3 linked regions of the Arabidopsis thaliana genome follow. The protein of the gene in region 1 interacts with the protein of each later gene in a pairwise test. Each region holds a gene or a part of one and is shown on either strand. Other genes may lie near its edges. The genes, in order: AT3G52070, AT1G74370 and AT5G07475.

Region 1 (2,725 bases):
TCTTGCATGTTTGCTGGGAATTTAGCATATAGGAGAGATGGAAACTCTTCTTTTTCCCAATGTTCCATCTATAGCGGAATTGTTAGATGACGCTGAAGTTGTTGGATTTGATGAAACAAAGGAGGAACGTTTTTTCTTTAAGATCATTTGCTGATTCTTGTTTCCTTACCTGAACACTCCACAACCAAGCTTTTATCCCAAGCTCTTTGCTTATAGCTGACTTAGAGGTTGGATTGTACAGGGAAAAGCTCGCAGTGATATGACTATGGAGGAAAGGTTTGGTGCAGCACACAGAAGGAAAATGGATGGGGCTCTCTGTTTAAGGAGGATAAATTGGAGGAGGCCAATACGAAATGGTTAGGAATCTCTCTTTCTTTCTAACAATTACGGTCAAAGTTTTGGTTTTCAAGGCATACTCAGCGACTCTGCCCGAGGCTCTTGCATCTCCTTTCGGCTCTAAAACAAAGAGCCTTAACTGGTTGATAGTGTTATCGCAATGGTTGGTTTGCCTTTTCTGCCGGAGTTAAAGCAGATAAAGAGGTATGAGAAGCTTAACAATTCAATTATATAAGACCAAAGTGAAAGATCACAACTCTCAATTCTCCTATGTCGGAATTGAATTTCTTATCTTATTACTGATTTGTGCAGAATTTACAAGGAGGAGCTAGCTTAGCTACTACCATGAAGATTTGGGGAAGCTGAGATGTTGCCAGGAGAAGTAAGCACAAACCAATAGTTGAGAGATATAAACATAAACAGCAAAAGAGAGACTCATAAGCATCAGGTCCTTGACGTCTCCTTTCTTCTTCTCTGGCTTCAGATTCTTCCCAATCTTCCCAGCCTCTGAAATCATCCTTCTCAATGTTCTCTGGATCACTCCTTCATTCTCTTCTGGTAATTTCTGCTTCCGACAAGACATCACTCTCATAGATCTAACTCCGTGTCTGCTTGAGGCTTGTCTCTTTGTACGGTGGTTAGTGCAGAGTGGGTGGTAGTAGAAGGTGGTGGAGAGAGCCGCCATGAGAAGATGAATAGAATAATTGAAGAAAGTTTTTTGTTTTGGGAATCAAAAGTGAGCAGGAAAATATCAGAATCTTGATAGCTTAACGACAAAAATGATTTGAAAAATGGGTGGATAGATCTCATCTAACACACACACATGTAGTCACAAGGTACACGCCAATGCAAAACCAAATTGGCCGAATTTCTATTCGGTTCGTTTCAACTAATTCGGTTTGTTTCGATTTCTAAACCGAAAACCCAAATTTTTTGATCCAAACCGATTCTGAATGGCCAGGTAATCAGGTATAGTCGGAAGCATCTACAAATTCACAACAACAACACATTATGTCTGACTGGTGAGATAAATGATGACTGAGTGGATAAGCAAAGAATAAAATAATGTCATAAAGTCAACAACATGTCTCTGTGACTCTATCTCTATCCTATTATTAGATTTAATCAGATAACTTTAAAATCTGGTTGCTGAAAAAACCGTATCTCATTATTATATAAATAGAGAGAGAACAGCCCCACGTAAACAAATAGCGATAGAGCAACTGTGTCGATTGTCCCAAATAATTTTAAAAATAATTTCACGTGTCCCCATTTTGCTGACGTCATTATTCCCCTTTTTCCTTTTTATTGTCACATCAGAATTTTTTCTAACTCATTCATTTCAATCAATCTTCTTCTTCTTCTTCTTCTTCTTCCTCAGAGAAATTCTGTGTTGTTGTATACAGAGAGATGTTCTCATCTTCTACACTCGTTTATTCTCTATCTCTCTTCCTCTCTCTTTCTCTTCTCTTCTTCCTCTTCATCCTCTCACCACACATCCTTCTCTCTTCCTCTACCCTCATTTCCACCGCCGATGACCTAGACGACCTCTCTCTCTTCCACCGCGCCGTCGTCTCTTCCTCCACCAACAACAACCGTCGTCTCATCTCCCTCTCTCCAAATCCACCCCCAAAGATCGCTTTCCTCTTCCTAACAAACTCCGATCTAACCTTCTTACCTCTCTGGGAAAGCTTCTTCCAAGGTCACCAAGATCTCTACAACGTTTACATCCACGCAGATCCAACCTCCTCCGTCTCTCCTCTTCTCGATTCTTCATCAATCAACGCTAAGTTCATCCCGGCGAGAAGAACCGCACGAGCTTCTCCGACGTTAATCTCCGCCGAACGACGATTACTAGCAAACGCAATCCTCGACGATCCTAACAATCTCTATTTCGCTTTAATCTCACAACACTGTATCCCTCTCCATTCCTTCTCTTACATCCACAACCACCTCTTCTCCGATCATCATCAACAAAGCTTCATCGAGATCCTCTCCGATGAACCGTTCCTTCTGAAACGATACAACGCAAGAGGAGACGACGCGATGCTTCCTGAGATCCAGTACCAAGACTTCCGTGTTGGATCTCAGTTCTTCGTATTAGCGAAACGTCATGCTCTAATGGTGATCAAAGAGAGAAAGCTATGGAGGAAATTCAAATTACCATGCCTTGATGTTGAATCTTGTTACCCTGAAGAACATTATTTTCCGACTTTGTTGTCTCTTGAGGATCCTCAAGGATGTAGTCACTTTACACTCACACGTGTTAATTGGACCGGTAGTGTTGGTGGTCATCCTCACACGTACGATGCCTCTGAGATCTCGCCGCAGCTGATTCACTCTCTGCGGAGATCTAATTCGAGTTTAGACTATTTCTTCGCCAGAAAAT
Region 2 (3,518 bases), on another chromosome or scaffold:
AGTAACGTTCTTTTGGATAAACACGGGAATGCGAGAGTGACGGATTTTGGACTAGCAAGACTCTTAAATGTAGGAGATAGCCATGTGAGCACAGTGATTGCAGGCACAATCGGGTATGTAGCTCCCGAGTATGGACAAACTTGGCAAGCCACCACAAGAGGAGATGTTTACAGCTACGGAGTATTGACCATGGAACTCGCGACGGGTAGAAGAGCTGTTGATGGAGGAGAAGAGTGTTTGGTCGAATGGGCAAGACGTGTAATGACAGGTAACATGACAGCCAAAGGTTCACCAATAACCCTGTCAGGGACCAAACCAGGGAACGGAGCTGAGCAAATGACTGAGCTACTAAAGATTGGTGTGAAGTGTACAGCTGATCATCCTCAGGCAAGACCAAACATGAAAGAAGTTCTAGCTATGTTGGTTAAGATATCCGGTAAAGCAGAGCTCTTCAATGGCTTATCTTCACAAGGTTACATAGAAATGTAAAAATCTTTCTTTCTTTTCTTCTTTCAGATTTATTATACAGAACAACAGAGTTTTCTTCTTCACCATTTTTCGTTTCATTGTTTCTGATTCTTCTTGTACACAGAACCTCATTGTTATCAGACAGATAGGGATAGAGAAAGGTAGTTTTGTTCGCAATGTACAGAGACACAATCTGAAAATAAAGATCTTCTCTTCTTCTTGTCTATATTGAGTGTAAACAACGTTGGCTCTATCTCGTGTTTCTTACAAGTCAGGAAACATACAGGAAGAAAGAAACAGTACAATGAGTCAGGTTGCAATCTCTCTGATCAGCCAGTTTAAGCTCGGGAAGGCAAAATAAAGGACGAGAAACGACGGGACAGCCAAAGCAAACGTAACAAAGAAATAAACCCCGAGAACTGCAGCACTCACAGGGATTGCATATAAAGCCATCAACAGGAATATGACTACCAGAGGAAACTTAGCCAACAAATGAGCAACAAGAGCCATTGACTTACGTACCGAGTCATGGAGCCTCCCAGTTCTGAAGAATCCTCTGGTCACACCATTCCACCAGCTGCGATTGTCCAGCAACCCTTCATCACCCAAGGCGGTATTACTCACTCCATCACACCTATTTCTCAAGTCTCTCTGCCCTGAAGCAACCCTTTTGTTGTCGCTGGGTGCCTCCGATCTGGAGCCATTCATGCTTTCTACCATCCACAGAAGGTAAAAGTTCTTGGAAGGAAATCTGATGGTTCCATTGCAAACCAGCCTTAAAGAGAGAATATTGCACCAAGGGCAAGCAACGAAGAAGGGAAGCTGGAATGGTAAAGCAGAGGATTTGATGACAATGGCACGTTGAAGCCCTAAGAGACAGTACTTGCAGATTGTATGACCACACCATAAGACATAAGGTACATTCTCAACAACGTTGAATGATTCCCAGCAAATGGGACACTCCAATTTTTCTTCCTTTGTTGTCTTTCTTCCATCTCCTGATCTATCTAAAGTAGCTCTTCTTGGTTTTGTAGCAGCTTCTTCTCCCTTCGATATAAAACCTTCTCTGATCGATTTTGAAGCTAAATTCCACATAGCAATGGAGGGATCCACAAAGATAATCACTTTGAATCTTTCTCTCTGCAACAAGAAAATCACACACACATACACTACATAATCAGATATGAGATTTACAATCCAACCCCCAAAGATTGGACCGAGAACATACAAAAAGTAACGAACTTGATGAAACCCAAGAAATCATTAACAGAATTACAGAAAACGAAATACACTTACAAGAGTTTATCCGGTCATGAAGATGAAGATCATTGCAAAAACAAAAAATGCAACAGCTACGTCGTTGAGTTATATAATATCTCCGAAGCTCTGATGTAACCAGCGAGAAGAAAACCGGCTGAAAAAGAGACACGCGTCGTAAAACATGGTGACTCTGAAACGCCTTTCAATGTTTCCGCCGCCCCCACCGATTTCCTCACCTTATCCGTTTCTGTTTTCAGGTTTAACTACCAAAACGCATCGTTTCACTATACCGCCAAAATTAAACTACCGGTTTAGTTCCGTAATTTTCTATTACCGAAATCGGTTAAAGTAAAATAGTAGTTGTCGGTGAGAGTGAGCTGTACGCGTTTCTTCTTCTCCTTGTGCGCTTTCTGGATCGAACGAAGCATTTTCCTCCGACAATATATTTTTAAGTAATGACAATGTTTCCGCATTATTGGGTTTAATTCCATTTTTAAATTAGGGTTCTTCAGATCGACAAATCTTTCTCTTTCTCTTTCCCCGATCGGAATCATGCTAAAGATCTGAACTTTTTCTCAGATCCGTGAATAAGTAAGTACGGAGAGACAGAAACATACTCAGACTGATCTGAGGAAAACAAAGTTGATGGTCGCAAACCTGTAAGTGAAATCTATAGAGAGAGACGTTGAAGAAGAAAATGGGTCAAGATGGTTCGCCGGCGCATAAAAGACCATCCGGAAGCGGCGGAGGACTTCCGACGACGACGTTAACCAACGGTGGAGGAAGAGGTGGTCGTGGTGGTTTGTTACCTCGAGGTAGACAGATGCAGAAGACGTTTAACAACATCAAGATCACAATTCTCTGTGGTTTCGTCACAATTCTCGTCTTACGTGGCACTATCGGTGTTGGTAACCTAGGAAGCTCAAGCGCCGATGCAGTTAACCAGAACATCATTGAGGAGACTAACCGGATTCTAGCTGAGATCCGATCTGATTCGGATCCAACCGACTTGGATGAGCCTCAGGAAGGTGATATGAATCCCAATGCGACGTATGTTCTAGGTCCTAAGATCACGGATTGGGATAGTCAACGTAAGGTATGGTTGAATCAGAATCCTGAGTTTCCTAGTACTGTCAATGGCAAAGCTCGAATCTTGCTTTTAACAGGATCTCCTCCTAAGCCTTGTGATAACCCCATTGGTGATCATTATCTTTTGAAATCTGTGAAGAACAAGATTGATTATTGTAGGCTTCATGGAATTGAGATTGTGTATAACATGGCTCATTTGGATAAGGAACTCGCTGGCTATTGGGCAAAATTACCAATGATTAGGAGGTTGATGTTGTCTCATCCAGAAGTTGAGTGGATCTGGTGGATGGATAGTGATGCTTTGTTCACTGATATACTGTTTCAGATCCCTTTGGCTAGGTATCAGAAGCATAATCTAGTGATTCATGGTTATCCGGACTTGTTGTTCGATCAGAAGTCGTGGATTGCTTTGAACACAGGTAGTTTTCTGCTGAGGAATTGTCAGTGGTCGTTGGATTTGTTAGATGCTTGGGCGCCTATGGGACCTAAAGGGCCAATTCGTGATGAGGCCGGGAAGGTATTGACGGCTTATCTGAAAGGTAGACCAGCTTTTGAGGCAGATGATCAGTCAGCATTGATCTATCTCCTGCTTTCTCAGAAAGATACATGGATGGAGAAAGTGTTTGTGGAGAATCAATACTATTTGCACGGGTTTTGGGAAGGTTTGGTTGATAGGTATGAGGAGATGATAGAGAAGTATC
Region 3 (3,214 bases), on another chromosome or scaffold:
GACGACGTAACAGTCAGGTACATACGGTAAACTCCTCTCTTGTGCAGAATTCCCCATTTTGAATGTGCTTGAATCCTCACCTTTCTCCATTATTGGTATTTGAATTTGAGTGTTGAGAAATCGGTTAATATTGTGAAGGGATAACTAAAATGAAAGTGTGAGTGGCTCCTCTATATATAAGGTTTGTAGGCTTGTAGTCGTTTATTGATATTTCGGAGTTATATATTAAAATATGACGGTCGAATACTAAATTATTATTCTTCCTTTTTGGAATATCTAGAGCATGTGTAACTGTCAATTGTTTATCGTGTACCAATAAGAAACTAAACTTTATTATCAAAATGATAATATAATGAACATCCATATGTTGTACGAAATGTATAAGAATGTCCAAATTCATATATGACGAGGGATATTAATAAGATGTTGGGATATAGTAGGAAGTAGGAACACTAACATGGATTTAATTTTTAAATGGAGACTTCGATCTCATTCATAGTCCCAACTACTAAAAAACAAAAAGAAGCTTTCCGCAAAAAAGCATCCTCTTGTCCGGATTTCAAGCCTTCATAAATATGTTGGACACATATGTGAATGCATGTACAGATAAATTCGATATATATGTCGTTTGAGTTGTAACAATTCTGTAAAAATAATAATGAAATTGTTATATACGGTCATGCGTAAGGTCTAGGTAAAATGTATTGCGCCGGGTTCCTTCATGCAATGGGCATTTATCTTCCTTTGGGAAAGACAAAAAAATGTCTGATGTCACATTGTCACTGACATTAAAATGAGAATTTTCAATCATAATTTAACACAACTAGCAATTAAGAAATAATATTACATCGATTTTTCATCGAAATACAACTACCTAGCTTCTAGTGATATACAGTATTAGTACTATTTTTCGTTGGGTATATTAGTTAATTTATAAATACGTAATACGTAAATAAAAGTTGCAAACAAAATGTTCATCCTAGAAATTATATTTTAGGACAAAAAGAATTGTTTTCTTGTACATGTTTTAAAAATTCGACTATATTTTAACTTTTTATCCCAAAAGGCTAAACCATATATCTAGTATAATTTTTCGATCATACATGTTCTAGTTCTGATGCTCCAACAACTATAAAAAGTGTTACAAGGGAAATTCTCTGGACGCATATTATTAGGTAGGTTTGGTAAAGAGAAACACTCAGGATTAGTCGAGGAGTTATGGTTCAACACCCCTTCAATGCCAATTCCAAGCCCTCTGCAAGTATTTTCGAGAAAAGGAAAAGTACATAACAACTAATATCACCATTCCACAAGATCATATATAAATACAAGCATTATTTACTGGCCATTAAAATCTTCCCTATATTTGTATGTTGTGCAATCAAGAACAAAAAATAAATATGAATTACTGCTTCAATATCTCCATCAAGATTTAACCATTTTAGGGTTGTGGACTTTAACTAACAGCATATGAATCATATGAATTGTGAAACACGAAAAATTTGTTAAGAACAAAAAAAAGGCTATAGGGAACAAAGCAGATCATATATGTTGTGGTGGTTGTGAAGTTAGGTTATCCACCAATGAGCAACCTTAACCTATGCCTTATATAAAAACATATATATTTCCATAATTCCATTCACACATATGCATATAGACAACTATAGCAATACAAGAAAATTAAACGCAATTTATTGAGAAAATACAAACAGCGTGCACTATGAAGAAGACGTCGAAGATACAATTTCTTTTCAATCTCTGCATCATATTTGGGGTTGTAGTAATAAGAAGATGTAACGCAACGACATACTTTGTAGGAGACAGCTCCGGTTGGGACATAAGCTCCGATCTCGAGTCTTGGACTTCAGGCAAGCGATTCTCTCCTGGTGATGTTCTAAGTAAGTATCTTTGATCATGTTGGCTTCATCCAACTATATATATACTACATAATTAAAAACTCAAATTAATTTACAGTTTCCCTTAATGAACTAATTAGTCTAATTAATTATGTGTATAATGTTTTTGCAAGTGTTCCAATACTCATCGACGCATAGTGTATACGAAGTGGCTAAAGACAACTACCAAAATTGCAACACAACAGATGCGATCCGGACGTTCACAAACGGGAACACGACCGTTGCTCTTTCCAAACCGGGAAACCGGTTCTTTGTATGCGGTAATAGGCTCCATTGCTTCGCCGGTATGAGGTTACTAGTCAATGTTGAAGGCAATGGCCCATCTCAGGCTCCCGTGGGATCTCCCCAAGCCGCCACTTCAGGGATTCTTCAACCATCTTCTAAAAAGAATAACCCTGCGACCGGAGTCGCTAGCTCAGCCGCCCGTTTTGTTGGCGACAGCGGTTGGAGGGGTACCATGGGAATTTTTGTATATTTTATGGTTTTTGCTTTTCCATTCATATGGTTTTGCTGATTAAAAACTATCTATAATAAGTGTTTTCATGTATATGTGTATTCATATTTGCCCTATAATGAGTGAGAGTATTTATTTGTTGAATTTCTTTATTTTTGTTTGAGTTCATGACCAAATTAAAACCTAAATTTTTGGTTCGTTATACAAATTTCGTTTTGTTTGCTCAGCAAATTTCTTACAAAAATGACATGTAAACAACGTTATGCTTAAAGTTATTAATCAATCAATGTATAATAAAAAAAAAGGAATTAGATTCTTTGACTACATTGAATTTGTATTTGTTCGATTCGATAGCGGAAAATTCAAAAAATAACCGATATCGGTTTATATTTTAGGTAATTTTATCTGGTTCGGTGTAGTAAATTCACCGTTTGACCGTATCTATATCACAGATGATTCACTGCGATTAAAAGTTGTGGTTATCACTATCTAATCGTGATCGCTACCAAAACGCAAACGCTAGTTACCGGAAGACACGTCTTGAGTTTCGCAGCATCTCTCTCCTCTCCTCTGTTCATATCTCTCTTTAGAAATTTCTCAATGAACATACTCAACAGATTGGGTTTGGGATCAAGTGGGCAAACCAATATGGATCCTTCTCCGATCGCTCAGGGAAATGACGATGACACACCGGCGCCGGGGAATCAGTTTGCCCAATTCGGAGCTGGATGTTTCTGGGGTGTCGAGCTGGCGTTTCAGAGAGTCCCAGGGGTGACTCAGACCGAGGCTGGATACACCCAAGGGACCGTAGACAATCCTTCATACGGAGATGTTTGTTCTGGTA

What was found.
Region 2: the proteins of AT3G52070 (region 1) and AT1G74370 interact in a protein complementation assay, tested with the Arabidopsis thaliana proteins (one large-scale study listed by BioGRID).
Region 3: the proteins of AT3G52070 (region 1) and AT5G07475 interact in a protein complementation assay, tested with the Arabidopsis thaliana proteins (one large-scale study listed by BioGRID).

Annotation. Positions count from the first base shown.
Region 1 is NC_003074.8:19,311,049-19,313,773, reverse strand, and holds AT3G52070 (RNA/RNP complex-1-interacting phosphatase), read right to left. Parts: upstream 1,057-2,725; 5' UTR 1,022-1,056; coding exon 677-1,021; 3' UTR 550-676; downstream 1-549. Other genes in the region: AT3G52075 (uncharacterized protein), read left to right, coding at 354-527; AT3G52060 (core-2/I-branching beta-1,6-N-acetylglucosaminyltransferase family protein), read left to right, coding at 1,747-2,725.
Region 2 is NC_003070.9:27,957,423-27,960,940, forward strand, and holds AT1G74370 (RING/U-box superfamily protein), read right to left. Parts: upstream 1,979-3,518; 5' UTR 1,765-1,978; intron 1,609-1,764; 5' UTR 1,564-1,608; coding exon 778-1,563; 3' UTR 664-777; downstream 1-663. Other genes in the region: AT1G74360 (Leucine-rich repeat protein kinase family protein), read left to right, coding at 1-489; XXT5 (xyloglucan xylosyltransferase 5), read left to right, coding at 2,426-3,518; AT1G74385 (uncharacterized protein), read right to left, coding at 3,303-3,518.
Region 3 is NC_003076.8:2,364,043-2,367,256, reverse strand, and holds AT5G07475 (Cupredoxin superfamily protein), read left to right. Parts: upstream 1-1,651; 5' UTR 1,652-1,720; coding exon 1,721-1,898; intron 1,899-2,029; coding exon 2,030-2,430; 3' UTR 2,431-2,551; downstream 2,552-3,214. Other genes in the region: KUOX1 (KAR-UP oxidoreductase 1), read right to left, coding at 1-90; PMSR3 (peptidemethionine sulfoxide reductase 3), read left to right, coding at 2,971-3,214.